Linked DNA regions of Tamandua tetradactyla. The protein of the gene in region 2 interacts with the protein of the main gene of each other region in a biochemical or structural test. Links are inferred from orthologs where the notes say so. Each region holds a gene or a part of one and is shown on either strand. Other genes may lie near its edges.

What was found. The genes of interacting proteins can lie anywhere in the genome.
Region 1: the proteins of ERBB3 (region 2) and SHC1 form a complex in vitro, tested with the Homo sapiens proteins (2 studies listed by BioGRID and IntAct, with this or other methods). The link is inferred for Tamandua tetradactyla from reciprocal best matches to the Homo sapiens genes ERBB3 and SHC1.

What each region holds. Positions count from the first base shown.
Region 1 is NC_135330.1:7,961,539-7,969,467, forward strand, and holds the start of SHC1 (SHC-transforming protein 1), read right to left. Parts: upstream 3,069-7,929; 5' UTR 2,327-3,068; coding exon 1,739-2,326; intron 1,726-1,738; exon of another isoform or gene 124-1,725; coding exon of another isoform or gene 1-123. Other genes in the region: CKS1B (cyclin-dependent kinases regulatory subunit 1), read left to right, coding at 3,621-3,679, 5,720-5,847, 6,469-6,521. UniProt on the Homo sapiens protein: Signaling adapter that couples activated growth factor receptors to signaling pathways. Participates in a signaling cascade initiated by activated KIT and KITLG/SCF.
Region 2 is NC_135333.1:123,144,243-123,152,255, forward strand, and holds the start of ERBB3 (receptor tyrosine-protein kinase erbB-3), read left to right. Parts: upstream 1-4,929; 5' UTR 4,930-5,082; coding exon 5,083-5,164; intron 5,165-8,013. UniProt on the Homo sapiens protein: Tyrosine-protein kinase that plays an essential role as cell surface receptor for neuregulins.

The sequences.
Region 1 (7,929 bases), on a different chromosome or scaffold from region 2:
GGACGAGGCTGAAGGGGAAGGCAGCTCCTCCGGGGGCGAGGACCCTGAAGCCCCCTCCTCCAGCGATGACAGAGACTCATTCCGAAGTGGGTTGTACTTGGGCTTAGGGGGCAAGAGATCCATGGCTGGGGTGCGAAGGGGGCTGCTGCCCAGCCCGGCCCCCCTGCCAGTCAGGGCAAGGGGGCCAGGCAAGGGGCATCCCAGGCCCTTAGCCTGGTGAGACCGCTATGGTCTAAGAGTCCCAGGAGTCCTGGAGGGAGAGGGATAGGCGGCTTTTGCTCCCCCAGCTCAGACCCAGACAGTTTCAGGGCCCATCCCCGCCCAACGTGGAGCCTCTCTTCTGGCGAGAAGAGAACAGGCTGGACCCAGAGCTGCCTGGCTCCTCCCCAGGGGCGGGAGCAAAGAGGAGAGACCAATCGCGAGGACAGTGCTGACTCACAGGCTCAGAGGGGCTGAGCCCCCACCGCAGCCCCGACTTAGAACCCTTGCAGGAGTAGAGATATCTAAGCCCCTTCTCCCGACCCCACCAGAGAGGAGTAAAGTGCGGGTTGTGGGCTAAAGGGAAAGATGGAGAAGTGGGAAGGAAAGGAGGGAAATGAGAGCATGTCTGGATCAGTCCAAACAGGACATGGGCAGGCCAGGGGGTGCAGGAAGCCAGGATGGGAGGGTGGGGGGTAGCAATGAGAGAGGAAACAGAGGCAGCTGAGGGTGGGATCCCTGAGCTCAGCACTTCCCTTCTAGTCCTGGTTGAATGCTCACATTCCCCCATCCTCCAACCCCGGCCACCTCCCCACCACTACCACACACAGTCAAGGTGGCCCCAGGGAGCCTGAGCCATTAGCTTTCTCTGCCACAACAGCTGGGGACTGGAGCTAGAAAAATGGGGAAGGGAAAGAAGTGGTCCCAGTGGATGCACAGAGGGGCCAAGAGGAAAGGCAAAACTGGTGAAGTGAAGGGGATAAAGCTGGAGGTGACAGCTGGAACAAGAGGACAGGCTAGTCGAGCCTTGTTTCCTATGCATGGCACCTACATGCCAGGCACAGTCCTGCCCCTCTTCCCACAGGCTAGTCAGCAAAGAATGCTGTCAAGGCTAAGAACTGAGAGCCAGAGCACTAACTTGAAAGTCAACTCCCTGGATCCATCAGGTGTACTCCTGTACCCCTCCTCCCCCCCACCCCCAGCAGTAACTGGGGAAGGGGCAGGGGTTCATCATAGAGCACAGTGTCCTCCACACCAGGGGACGGATGGGAGAGTGGATCAGTTTTCCAAGTGAAATGGGAGCTATGGGCCACTAAAGGACAGAAAAAGTAGAAGACAGATTTGTCTTAAAATCTACAGAAAAAAAAGGAGGCCAGAAGAAGACAGGCTGAGGCTGGACACAAGGAAGTCTCAAACCCATTCCTTCCACCCACAGCTTCTCACCACAACTGTGCTTAAGGGAGCAACAGAGTAACTTAGGAAGCCACCAAAAAACAAGAAGTAAAAGACACATACCCCCAGCTCACCTTGGAATTACCCTAACCTGAAATTTACTTCAGAGGGTAAAAAAATGATCAACAATATTAGCACTTAAAACATGTGAGACACTGTGCTAAACTCTTTCACCTCCCATTAGCCCTCATCCCAGGAGAGTTTGTCACCCCAGCCACCACTCCAGAGAAAGAATTCTATCACTCCGTCTCCTAAGACCTCAGCTCTCAGGTCTAGAGAAAATGAAGAAGGGATTCCTCAGACTCACACATTCAACACACAGTAGGATATCCTCATCTTTCAAGACAGCCATTCTGTGGCTGCCAGAGGTCGGGAGCAACCAACAGGTGTGGGCATTTGGAAGAAAAGAAAGAGGAACTTTGGCTCTAAATTTGCATAGAAAGAAAGAAAAATGCCTACTGGGAGCCCAGGTGGTTGGGTGTGGGGACGTTGTGTCTGGCTTCTCAGCCCAGCAGGGAGGAGGCAAGCTGGGAGGAAAGTAGCAGGAAATGGTGAAAGCCTCAGGAATGTTTCCAGCCGGGAAGGCTAGGCAAGCGGGACCAGGAGGAATGCCCAGACAAGAACTCCGGCTAGGGGGAGGGGAAGAGCCAGAGAAGTGGTGGGAACCGAGGAGTCCCTTAAAATAATCAACCACCACCAGGTAAACTGCTCTCAGCCCCCACTCCAAACCCGCATTCTCAGGTGACAGAAAACCCTCACTCCCGTCACACCCACACGCTGCACACCACTGAATCCACAGCCCTCCCCAGCTCGCGAAGTGCAGGTTATGACATTCAGCTCTTCCTGGGGTGGAGTCGGTCCTGGAAAGAGAAACTAAAGGAGTGGGGCTTGGCATCTACAAGCAAATCTCTGTCCTACTCTCGTACCAGACCCCAAGTCCCTCTTCAAGTCGGTCCACCACTGGAAGGGGGTGAGGGGCTGCCTCTCTTACTCCTCGGACGAAAGATGGGAACTTGTCTTCCCACTCAGTGGGGCATGAGAGAGCTCAGGAAAGCTGAGTCCAAAGCTCAGAAGACAGAAAGGGAGGGGAAATGTAAGTATTAATGTACAGCGTCTGGAATCAAAGACAAAGCCTCTGAGGTGGTGACCTGGGTCCTACAGGAATAAAGTTCCTGTGGGGGCGTGGCCCCTAAAATGCGTGCAGCAGATACTACCGAGAGCCAAGGTTTCTACACCATCAAACGCAGATTAAGGGAGAGGTGTGGCTTCTGGAGGGGTGGAGCCCCTAGAGAGGCGTGGCTTCAATTAATTCGAATAGTTCCTGGAGGGGCAGGGCTCGGCCCTTCTGGGAGATAGGTCTTTTGACAGACAGAGTTAGCGGAGAATCGTCCAGAGGAGGCGGAAGTTCAGACAGTTGAAAGGACAAACGAAGGGTTTCTAGTAGTAGGGATTGGAAGCATGTCTGGGGGTGGGACTTCCAATAAAGCTGGCGACAGGGTGGGGTCAGGAACAATAGATGGAAAACAAATCGGGGTTCGGGGAGCCCCCCCTGAAGTTGAGAGGTGGGACTTCCGGGAAGGGGGTCTTAGGGGGCGGGACTTGAAAGGGGAGACCGGAAGTGGGGTCCCGGGAGAGGGGTTCCGGGGTGGAGGTGTGGGTCACCTAAGAAGAAAAGAAGTCAAGACTCACCAGGGCCTCATGGAGTCTCCGCACCGCACCGCGGGCCGATGTGGTTCCGGATTACGCCACACTGCCTCTCTAGGTCGCCGCTCCAACTTTCTCCCCGGGCCAGGCCTCCCTGGAGAAACTTTATTGCACCTACTTCCGGCCTCACTAACCCCTGACCCTCTACCTCACTGTCTCTCCTTCGCCCCGCCCACTTTCGTAAATCAGCCAATAGCAGTGCGAGAGCGAGCACAAGCGCAGCGATAGCCAATAGGAGGCCTATTTTTGTCCCACGCTCGTTCTAGAGAAACGTAGGATACTGCGCTCCAATAAAGACTCGAGGAGAAGAAATCTAAGCCAATCAGAGGCTTGAAGGTGGAGCTGTCCCGCCTTGAGCCAAACAAGCCAATAGGAAGTGCGGGCGGTGTGTTTGAAAGCGAGGCCAAGGAGGGTGGGAGCGCGTGCTGCTGGGAGTTGTTTGGAGCTTGGCTGCGCCGGGCTGGGGGCCCTCAGTCAGAGCCATCATGTCGCACAAACAAATTTACTATTCGGACAAATACGACGACGAGGAGTTCGAGTACCGGTTAGTGCCGGCGCGGGGGCCGTAACGTGGTCGTGAGCCTTGACAAGTGAGAACACGAGGCGTTAGTAATGAGAACTGAGGCGACAGATTCGGCGCATGCGCTGGGGTTTAACGGGAGTGCTGTGAGAGCGTGGAGGGCGTGAAGCGCATGCGCAACGCGTCGGGCGCGCTCGGGAACAGATAAATTGGTTGCGAATTTGGACTCTTGAGAGGAGGCGTGGCTTAGAGTGTGTGTTTCGGTCCCTGACCTCCCAACCCCCCATCACCTTTGCAGGTTTCTGGAGTATTCTCTCAACTTTGTTGGGCAAACCGTCTAGGACCAGAATGCCTGCGGGGAGAAGTTGGCAAAAGCGGAATTGGAGGTTTTCTAGTGTCCTCAATGTGAGGAGAGGCCTGAGAGGGTCCAAATCTGGCTTATTTTGGAAGGGGGCTGCGAGGTGGAACAAATTGGCTAAGAGAAAAGGTTTAAGATGAGTCTAATAAAAACTTTAGATATTTGAAGGGCATCTGTTCAGGAAACAATTACGAGTACTTACAGGTTTCAGGTGTCCTGCTAAGATGCAAGGTTAATATAAGACGTTGTCTCTGCATTCAATGAACTTAAAATCTGTGGAAGATACACTTATATGATATGATAGAGATGTGTACAGGGTGTGGTGGGATTTATAAAACCAGCCAAGGAAATTGGTAGGTCTGGGAACGCTTCCTCGAGAAAACTGCCTGAGATGGACTCAAGGAAAAGATTAGGAAGGAGAAAGTGCCTCAGAATCAAGTTGCTGGTTAGTCGTCTACCACGGTTGGCAAAGAAGGAATCCCTGGATTGTATGCACAGTTAAGATTTGATAAATCCATAATTCTAGATTGGAAAATGAGGAAAGACAGAGGATTCTACAATTGTTAACATTCTACTAATCTGTATTAATTGTAATAATTAAGACAACTTTCTGTTTGCATATTGTCTCAATTGGAGAGTATAAAATGGAAACTTGCTTTTTGTCTTGTCTCTTCACCTGGCCTAATGCCTGGCTCTGAGTATACTTTGGAAAATTCTGTGTGTGTTGACAAATAACCATTTTCATGCTAGGTCCTTGGTAAAACAACCCCAAGCCCTTCTCGGATGCAATTAACTTTCTTTTCCTCAGCTAAACACCTCTACATCTGAACTAAACTAACTGAAACTAGATACTTATAACATCTTTGCAGGGAGAAGTCACTAGTTTCATCCTTTGGGAGATGTAACTCTTAGCTTGGCAAAGGTAATTTGGTTTAAGAGGTTTTTGTTAAATTATGTACTGAAGCCAAACTTTGTGGCAGAAGCTTGTTAGAATGTAAGCTATTTTCAGACATCTACACTAGAATTATCTCTGGGAAAAAACCTCTTACTAGCACAGAGGGAGCATTTAGTACATTTTCACTGAACATAATGAAGTCTACCCAGGTTAGCCTGGTTCAAGCTCAGAGTAATAATTTTTCTGTCATGAAAAGAGATTTTTCCCTGGCTAGGGAAGCATGGAGTTTCCCAAAAGAAGTCTCATGGCATATCCTTATTTCAGAATAAGGAAAATGATTTGGAATAGACTTTAAAAGATAAGATATTTCCATTTCACTCTTTGTGGTGGCTTTTCTACACAGCAATACATAATGGGCCTTTCTGCTCCACAAAATTGCTCTCCCTTTACCAAACCTGTTCAAAACCCAACTTAATTATTAATGTTTGTTGTGGGGCTTTCATTATGTTATGGGTAATCAATGAGAAGACTGTAAGCATGATGAAGGCAGGGACAATGTATCAGTACGTGAGACTTAAGTGCTCATCCATTTAAATTATTTATAAGGTACTTTTGTGAGGATTTACCTAACTTAGGCTGGATTCATAGCTGGCCCTAGCCCTCTATATACAATAAGGAATGTATAAACTCCTGACTTCAGAAACTGGTTTCTCTTTTCTCTCCTCTCTTGGCTTTGTTTGCAGGCACTTGTTTTAACAGACTGTTCACAGTGCTGACACAAATTCCCTGCCTTCCCTTGTTTCTCTTACAGGCATGTCATGTTGCCCAAGGACATAGCCAAGCTGGTCCCTAAAACCCATTTGATGTCTGAATCGGAATGGAGGAATCTTGGTGTTCAGCAAAGTCAGGGATGGGTCCATTATATGATCCATGAACCAGGTCAGTGGAACAGCTAAAAGCATCTGTATAGGGCTGGTACACTGAGAGAACGAAGGAATAGTAAGTGTGCTGCCCAAAGAAATGGGGGAAGGAGAGCATGATTTACTGGCTCTTTCCCCTCCATCACCTATCTAGAAAAACTAGAGTGACCAAAAATAAAAATAAGAGTAAAATATCCATGAAGTTCAGAGACAACCTGTCACTGAAGAAATCTCCTTTTAATTTTTAATTCATTCAACAGAGAATACTCTTTAAGGCCAGCTATACCCTGGTAGAGGTTATGGCCCTGTTTCATTCTCCACTAGAAAGCCGATTTTTGGATGTGTTCCAAATAAGCCAAGAAAAATATATTTGTTGATAAGACACCAGACACCCAGCTGCCAGGCAAAACTAATAAGGGACATCCCAGGGCTGTACAAACACAGCAAAAGGATTATTAACCATTCTGTACTTGGCAGAATTGCCTCTGGGTCTGCTTCTAGAGCCATATGCTTAAATCTTAATTTAGTTAAAGATCTAAGTGGGTGAAAGCTGGGAGGTGGCCATGGGACAGCATGAGATAAACTAAGTTGTGCACAGAATGGTATAAACTTGTCTCTTAAGATTTCACCCCTCTTTCAGAACCTCACATTTTACTGTTCCGGAGGCCACTACCCAAGAAGCCAAAGAAATGAAGATAGGACACGATTTTTCAACCTCAAGCTACACACAGCTGTCCTTACTTGCTAACATCTTTCTGATAATGTTGCCTTCTTGTTTCTCACTTTGATATTTAAAGGATATTCAATAGACTGCTTGAATGTGCTGGTGACTGCTTTGCCTCTTGAGCAGAGCCAACACCACCTCTACCCAGCGAGATGAGTGCTCTTTGGGCCGTAGCCTCAGCTAAGTGTGACCCCAGATGCCATGGTGGGCTCTATATCCAGCAGAACACACCTGGCAGATGGAGGGAGCATCTGAGAATAAGACCCATGGCTCAGTTACAGGGATTGTGTAAACTTGGTGTTTTGTTTTTTTCCTGCCGGGTGTTGTATGTATGGTGACTTGTGGCTTTATGTTTCAATGTATTGGAAACTTTCCATTTTATTCAGGAAGTCTGTTCCATGTTAAAACCCTTGATTAAAGAGGAAGTTTTTATAATCCAATTCTAATTGAAAGGTTTTTTTCCCCCACCACTGTCAGGGTGAGCATCACATTCAGTATCATGTTCTAATTATCTGCCGTTCAGTTAGATAATGAAGCTAGGCTCTTTGCTGATAATGAGGTTTATTTCAACATTCAGGTAATTGGTTTTTAATCTACTTGAAACAGACATGCTGTCCAACATCTACTGAAATATATTTCACTCTAACTGCTGACCTGAGGTAGTGGCTATATAGCGACAACCTCATCCCACCAAAACATGAACAAGTTGCTTCAGTCAGGACTGCCTTTAACCTAGACCCATATTTGAAGGTTATGTGAGGGTAAAGGGAGGAGGCTGCCAGCCAGAGAACACTAATGTGCTCCAATTCTTGCCCAGCATAAGGCTCAGGCGCACTGTTCGTTGGTTGGGAGTGTTTTCGATGGTTCTCAGCTTTGGCTGGGCATTAGCATTACCTGGGTAGCCTTAGAAACACTGATGCTGTGCTCCCTAGAGAGTCTGATTTAATGGGTGTGCAGTGTGGCCTGGCTATAGGGATTTCAAGCATTCAATATGCAAGTGGCTACAGCACTAAGCTTTGAAAAAACATGTGTGGACTGTAACTGTTTAGGAAAATATTTCACCAAATAATAGCTTACCCTCTATTTTAAAGATAACAGCAGTATTAAGTAAGGAAGATTATCCTCCTCCCCATTCTTTCAAACCATTTATTTCTAGAGCAGTAGTTTTTCTAGTTGATTGCAGGACCAGAAGCCTCAGTATCACTTTAAACTTGTTAGAACTGCAACTTCTTGGGCTCCACCCTAAACTTAATCAGAAATTGAGGGTTGGATACACGTAGCCCCTTCAGGTGATTCTGATGTTCACTGAAACTTAAGAACACACCAGTAGATGATTAGACCAGACCTGATATTCTTTTCATTGAAAACAAACTGTTT
Region 2 (8,013 bases):
TTTGAGTCTCAGAGAAGTTCAAGGCATCATCAAGGCAATGCTTTCTTCCAGAAGACTGGCCTTCTGTCTCTGGCTGTTGGCAATCCTTGGTCCTTGCCTTTTCTCTCACATGGTAATACCCATGGTGGCCTCCTCTGGCTTCTCCCTCCCTTCCATGATCCATTGACTTAAAGCTTCTGGGTGCTCTTTCGGCTTATTATTCTCTCTCCATGGCCATCCCTATAAGGCTTTTAGCAATAAAATTAGGACCCATCCTGAGTCAGTTGGGCCACACCTTAACTGAAGCAACCTCATCAAAAGGCCCTATAGACAATGGGTTCATTCTCATAGAAGTGGATTAAGTTTAAGAACATGTTTTTCTGTGATACATAGCTCTAAGCTACCACATGATTATTCTTCATGGGAGATCTATTTATTCTCCATCATTTACTACTTTATTCAATAATTTAATTACAACAGTATTGATTGATGGATATTTATTATATACATTGGATTATAAATCAACAATACATCTTTTTGCACCAATTGACTCATGTTTGAACATTGGCAGTTCTTTCAAGTGGGTTTTATGTCCCTTTGGGAAACCCTTCAACATTGTGTGCAAGTATGTGTGTGAGTTTGAGTATTTGAGGCTTGAACACTTTTTATTACTTCCTAGGGCTACAAGAAGCTCCAGGTTCCCATTATATATCTCCTGTCCCTGTCCTAGAATCGTCATTTTCCTAAGGGCTCCTGGCTCCTTTTATTGTATATTAGTACTAGAAACCAAGTTTTGGACACTACGTTTTTGCTTCTGTATTTATGGGAGAGATTCATCTTTAATTTTCCTTTCTTATCACATCTTTATCTTCTTTAGGGATTAAAGGCATGCTTGCCTCACAGATGAGTTAGGATTTGTTTCCTGTGTTTTTATTTTCTGGAAGAGTTTTCCATGTAATATCATAATTTCTTCCCTAAGTATTTAGTGGGATTTACCATTAATACTATGTAGGCCTTTATTATTTGGAAGACTATTAAATATTGATTGAATATTTAATAGATACAGATCCATTGAAGGCATCAAATTTTCTTTCTATAAGTTTTTGTAGCTTATGGCTTTCAAGGAATTGGTATATATTAACAATATTATCAATTTTGAGGTAGAGATGTTCGTAATGCACTTTTAAAAATATTTTTAATGTCAGTGGAATCACCAGTGATAATCCTTCTTCAATTGCTGAAATAGCTCATTTGTTTCTTCTCACATTTTCTTGTTTAGTCTGGATCTATAGATTTTATTTATCTTTACATAAAACTAGATTTTGATTTTGCTGTTTTATTTTTATTTTTTCCCATTTTCAATTTCATTGATTTCTGCTCCAATTTTATTTTCTTCAGCTTGCTTTACATAAATTGCTCTCCTTTTGTTTCATCACTTCAAGTTGAGTGGTTCTATCACTTTGCAAATAAAAACTCCTCTCTAGGGTGGTGTGACAGTGGCTCGGTGAAAGAATTCTCGCCTGCCAAACAGGAGACCTTGGTTCAATTCCTGGTGTCTTTTTCCGTATCCTCTTGCTCACTTTAGTTCTGCCACATATTCAGCAAAATATTCTCTTTATAAGGAACTTCCCTCTATGCCTGTTATTCCCAGCTCATAAAATGGCAGTTGTATCTCTCTAATTTCTCAGGGCAAAAAGCTAGACAGCATCTTTAATTTCTTCTTCTCCACCTCTTCTGACACCCATTACACAATGCATCATCAGTCTTATGACTTCATCTCCTGTATAATTCACCATGACACTCCAGTTCAACATTTCATCACATCCCCGGGGTGACTTCTTTCTGCATCTCCAAAGGCCTAGGCTGAGCTGTGAGTGCTGAGATGAGGAATGCCGAGCTGCTTAGCCGTGCTACCTTGTGATCTCTCATTTAAGCACCAGCCAATTAAGTCAAACGTCAATCATTGCAGCAGACAGGCCTCCTAGCCGACTGCAGATGTAATTAGCAATTAGGTACCATTGGCTTATGTCCGCAGCAACAAGACTAGGTATGCTCACCTGGCCAAGTTGACAACTGAATCTAACTAACACAATAGAATACCTAGCAGCAGTCAGAAGCAAAGGACTAGAAGGCCAAAGAGTCAAAAAAAAGGTTGTTTGTTTTATTTTGTTTTATAAGATGGTAGCTGTCATAGCATGTTCATATGCTGATGGAAATGATCCAGCAGACAGAAATATTGGTAATACAGGAAAAAGGGGGATAATTGCAGGAAAAACAGTCCCCAGGTTTTGGACTCCATACCTGGAGCATGTGGGGATGGGGTGACATTTGGCCTTAAAGAGAAGCAAAGAAACTTCATTGTAACAAGATGGAAGTCAGTACATAACGTGTGGATGGAGGTAAATGGGTCAGGTTGGTAATAGGAAGAAAAAGATGTTTTATTTTGATTACTTCTATTTTCAGATTAAATATGAACCAAAATCATCAGTTAAGAATGAGTGTTGGAAAACAGCAGAGAGCTTTCACCAATAAAGCCTCCTTTCCTTTCTGTATTTATTCAGTCAGGCAACATCCAACAGAGATGGCTCCTTATAGGACAGCTCTTTCCAGTGTTTATATGCTTGATGCTTAGCATGATGTCTAAATATTGAAGAATGTTTGGTGTTCTTACCCAGCTCTTGAGGAGTACGGATTGAAACAGCCCTAAAACCAAAGAATATGTCAGGCACAAGTTAGACATGATGACCTGCCAAGAGGAGATTCTTCTTCCCAGCGTCAGCCATTCGGAAATGGAAGTCAGCCCCCCAGAAAGGCGGGGGTACAAAGGGACAGCTTATAAGGGTTCAGGACAAGGACATTTCATAGGGTATGAGAACAGAGTTTTAGCAGGGTCTCATGACACGGGTTTGGGAATTTCTTATCAACATATCAGGGAAGCAGAGTTTCAATGATTTACAAGATAAAGGGTTTAGTATACCATCTGTACATTCTTTTCCTCCTCCTGAAGATAACTTCTTTCTGTCACGTAGGCAGCTACATGCAATGAGTTACTCTCAATATGGAGGGGGAGACCCGGCCCTGGGTCGCCACAGGTAGATATCAGCAAGCACAGGTTGGGATCTAGTTATGGAGGGTGGGGTAGTATTGATGATAATATCACTAAATGCAACTATTTAGTTCATCGAATACTTCTTAAAGGATCGAATCCGGTAATTAAGAGCTCTACCTGCCTTTTCTCATTAAATCCAAATCACGACCTGTTTGCAACTGTTTATTTATAAAAAGGAAATCAAGGATAGCGGAAAATTTGCCATCTGGAATTCAAATTTCAGAATCAGGGCCCTGAATACTTTACCTTGAGGTAAGGGAGTGATTCAATGAAAAGACCCTTTGGTCTGGGGGATAGTAAGTGAAGATGGAGACCCCCTAAATTCTATTAGCCCAGTTATCTCCCGAGAGTTTGATTCTGAGCAGAGGAAGCTTCCGTCTCAGCATGAAATCCTAGTCAAACATCCTGATTCCACTGTCACCAGAGCTTCTATTTCCAGTTCTATCAAACATGTTGCCAAGCTCACATAATTTTTGTCAGTGAAACATTCTCTAAGGTACTACATTTGAAGAAACAGTTTGCAAATTAAGCGGTCTAGGTATTTATATGTCAAAGGTGTCGCTGTTACCACTATTATGGCTAAGAGAGTGGTCTAGGTGGGGGTCAAAGCCCTCTATGTTGCATATCAATACCGAGCAGGTTTAAAGAATTTTTGCCGATCAGTGTTGGTATGGGGGAGTTTTCTGCATGAAGGTTTAACTGTTCTGGAATTATTGGGGAAAATTATTCGGGTGTCTCTGCGAGACCCAGGATTGAAGTGCCCCGGCTGCCCCCCAGGGGCACGGGTCGGGTCCGCTGGGGTCAGGCAGGGTCTCGGGCAGCCACCCGCCGGTCGCGCGGCGGCCTCTGACCTAGATCTGGGAGGGTGCCAAGGGTCCAAGTGATTCGTGGACCCGAATCACACAGTCTCTAGTGCCCTCTGTTCGTGCTCCTTCATCGCCAACCCCCTCCTTTCCAACGAGAGCACGCACTTGGAAAGCTCCGGGGAGGGTGTGCGGGAGCGCCTAGGGAGGGGACTGTGTGCCGACCTGAGTCCCAAGAAGATCCGTCGGGAACTGGGGCCGCCCCGACGGCGCGGTCAGACTCCAGGGTGGAAGGGGAGGCAGCTGTTCTCCCAGGCGGCCGTGGGGGGCAGCAGAGCGGACGGCGACAGGTGCGGAAGCCCCTCCCGGGGTGGAAATGCAAAGGCGGGCTCCAGGGTCTGTTCCCAGGCTGGAAACCACCCCCGCCCCCCAACCAAATCCCCCGGAGAGGCCCGGCCGGCGCCGGGTCTGGAGGAGGAAGCGGCCGGAGACAGTGCAATTTCACGCAGCCTCTGGGGCTCGGGTTCCTGGGCAGAGTGGATGAGTTATGGGGTATCGAGCCCGGGGAAACTGAGGTGGCCGCACATGAGGCAAAGAACGCCCTCTCCCTTCGAAAAACACACACAGAGGGAAATATTCACATTCAGGGAGAAAATCCCCAGGTGATCCAACCGGCTGGGGGAGTTGAGCGATCTGGTTAATGGGCGAGGCCAGATTTCAGAGGGCCGGGCTTTGGAGCGCTCTCCCCACCCCCATTACATTTTCCAGGATTTGGGGGGCATTTGGACTCTCAGTCTCCTCTTAGCCCAGCTCGCGAATGAAAAGTAGGATGGGAACTTCTTAGCCTGCTTGACTAAGAAGAGGGAGTCCCCAGGTTGCGGGGCACTGGGGCGCGGGGCGCTCTTGGGGCGGGCGGTCGAAGGCTCCCGCAAACCCTACTCCCGCCCCGCGCGGGAGGAGGCGCGGCCGTGACTCACCCCCTCCTCCCTGTGCGCCCTCCCTCCCACTCTTATAGACACACACACCCCTTCCCTCCCATCCGCCCCGGACTCCGGCTCCAGTTGCAATTTGCAACTTCTGCTGCCGCCGCCACTAATTCGCTGGCGGCTCAGGTGGCTCCCGCTTCGATGTCCTAGTCCAGGGGCCCTCGGGCCGGACTCGGTTGAGCTTCCCTCACTCTCCACCGGAGTCATGAGGGCCAGCGCGCCTCTGCAGGTGCTGGGCTTCTTCCTTAGCCTGGCCCGGGGCTCAGAGGTGGGCAACTCGCAGGCAGGTAAGCGGCGCCGGAGCCTTTGCAGGCTCTGGAGCTGGTGCCCCAACCGAGAGCGTGGAGCCCCTCAGGGCAGGGGCAGGGTCTCAGGCGGTGCGAGACTGGGGATGTTGGCCCCAGGTTTGCGGGGACCACCTGGGAGGCGATGGCCAAGCTCAGAGGTTAGGGTTCTCGGCGTCCGCCGGGCGGGGACGGGATTCGTGGACCAGCCCCCTACTAGCGCGTCGCCGACCCTCTAATTCGTCCCTGGTGATAGGGGCAGTACCCACGTAGTAGTTTACATTTCTGAGGGACTCTACGGGGGCAGGAGCGGGGACCTCCGTCCTGTAAGCGCCAGGAGATGGTTGGAGATGGGGACCTGCTCCCCAGCCCCTTCCCCCTGAGTTTCAGCCACCTCCAGTTTCGTTGTTTTGCCGACAGGGCGGAGCTGCGGTAGGTTTGGGGTGTGGGGTGGGGGTGGTTGTTGTTCTCTGGTGTTGGAAAAACAGGAGCGGCACCTCCTCTTCCGTGAGTTGGCCTGCCCTGGGGGGGGGGGGGTGCTGAGTTAACGAGAGGGCCAAGTCCAGGTGACATCAGGGTGAGAGGCCCAGCAGAGGCTGCCTGCCCGCTTTCCCTCAAAACAACAAAGCTGGCTGGTCTCCGCCTTGACCAACTTCTCTTTGTCAATACCCAGGTTAATTCAATATTTATTGAGCATCTACTATACACAAGGCCCTTGGCAAGAAGCTACAGAGGCAGGACTTCCAGACTCTGTTTCTCCTATTTGTCTTTTTTACCCCCAACCTAAGATCCAAGAGGACACTTCTACCACCTCCTGAGGCTCCTGTTCTGGGAGTCCTTCCCAGGCCCCACTCCTTACCCCTATTCTGTTTATTTGTGTTGAAGAGACAGAGTCTCAGATTGCTCTCTATTCCTCTCTGGACTCCCATGACATCTGAGCCCCTTTTAGGTGTCTCTGAGACCACAGATACCTGAGGGGTGCTGGAACTGGAGAAGTCCTATTGATCTCCCTTCCCCCAAGTTTCCAGCTTGGTATTTGGCAGAGCCAGGGCCCCTTCCCCAGGGTGGGAGTGGGAGAAACACCTGTGCTTCACCCACAGTTGCTGGGCCTAAATTTAGACCCTGGGATCTTGAGATTTGAACACTCCCAGCTGGTGAAGGGCGGGGGTCTGGGGATTGGAGTACGAGGAAGTAGTAAATTGACTGTATCTCTGTCCTCGGAATCTTAAACGGAACCCTGGAGTCCGAGATTCTGGCCTCTGTCTCTAGGGGAGGCAGGAGGCAGGCATGGTTGGGTCTTTTTACCCTTTATCTGGATTCTGCAGCCTCTGGGCATCCGGCCCTGTCTCAGTCCTTCTATAGCCCCTTTGTCCCTGCTGGTTGTGATGGGGGTGGGGGTTGAGGAGGGGTTGGAGATTCTTGCTGTGTCCCTCCCCCAGAGCTTTCTACCAAAGGAGGGCCTGTGACACTGCCCCTCCCCATGCCCCTGGCCTCTGGCTACAGTCCAAGGTTTTACTAACTCCAGTCCCTCTGCCCTCTCCTCAGGCTGCCTAGTTCGTCCCCAGAGGTGTTATTTATACTCTCTCCCCACCTAGGCCCTTTGCTCCCTGTTTGTGTAATATGGACTTTACCCTCAGAATGGTGGAGGACTAGAGATGTATCTCTAATACTGTAGCCTTCCAAGCATAGACACAAAGTCTTCACAAACTCATATGGGCAGGTGGGATGGATGGGGACACCTAAATACTTCCCATGGGGACACCTAAATAGTTCCTAATCAGGAAGACCCCATAGAGAGCCCTGGGCCAGCAGAGGAGGTTTGCACACGTGTGTGTGTGTGTGTGTGTGTGTGTGTGCACGCATGCATACATATGCCACTTCCTTGTGTAGAAATCTTGGCTCCTCCCTTATCTGGGGAGAAGGATTGGCGCCTTGACTTGGAAGAGGGGGTGTCCTGCCAGGAAAGGGATCGGGGTGGAGCTGTTCTAGAAATGACTAACCTTCATAGTCTTTTTCATTTCACCCAAAGGACCCTGGAGTCCCCATGCTTCTCTGGGAGTTCCTGACCTGTTTACCTCTTTGTTGGGTCTAGCTCACCCCTGCGCTTGGTGGGTAGTGTTAGGAAAGGGAAGCCCTCAAAGGTCAAGTGGTCAGACTTGGGGTGGATCTAGGGAGAGGGACTTAAGCCTCAGCCATCTCTCCCCCCACCCCCACTCCTGCCTCCCACTAAGCTGGCACTGCCTCAGGGAAGGGTGGTTGGAACAGGTGGTATCTACCTTCCCCCCCACCCCACGCACAGTCTTTCACTGAGTCAGAGGAAATAGACAGGGGTAGGGGTAGACCAAGAGTTCCAGAGCCCCTGTATCTCCCACATAGATAAGGTAAAGTGGACCCCAAGATGACATGCTTCATGTCCCTCTCCCCTAATGCAGGTAAGGATTGCCCTGTTGGAAGGCCTGGCCTCTTAATGAAACCCTTCTAACAATGAAATTGGGTAGAGGGCTTGGCGGTTCTGCTGCTGCTTCCCTTCTGGCTTCTCTGCATTTGCTGAAACTAGAAAGTATCAGGCAGAGGGAGCTGAAATGTGTTGGAATAAGGGAAAGGAGCGAGAAGGGAAGCCAGGGTTTGGGAATAGGATGGGGAGAGGGGTAGGCAACCAGCCCCTTATCTTCCTGCTTTAAAGACAAAGCTGCTATTGACACGCCCCCCTCCGTTCCGCCAAAGTCCCCTCCCCCCACCAGTGAGGTCATTTGTCTGAACCCAAGACTTGAGGGGCCGGGTGCTACGAGAGGAGTCTGGGGACAGGGTGGGGCAGCCCCCCTCCTCCTGGATAGAATCGCCTCATTGTGGGC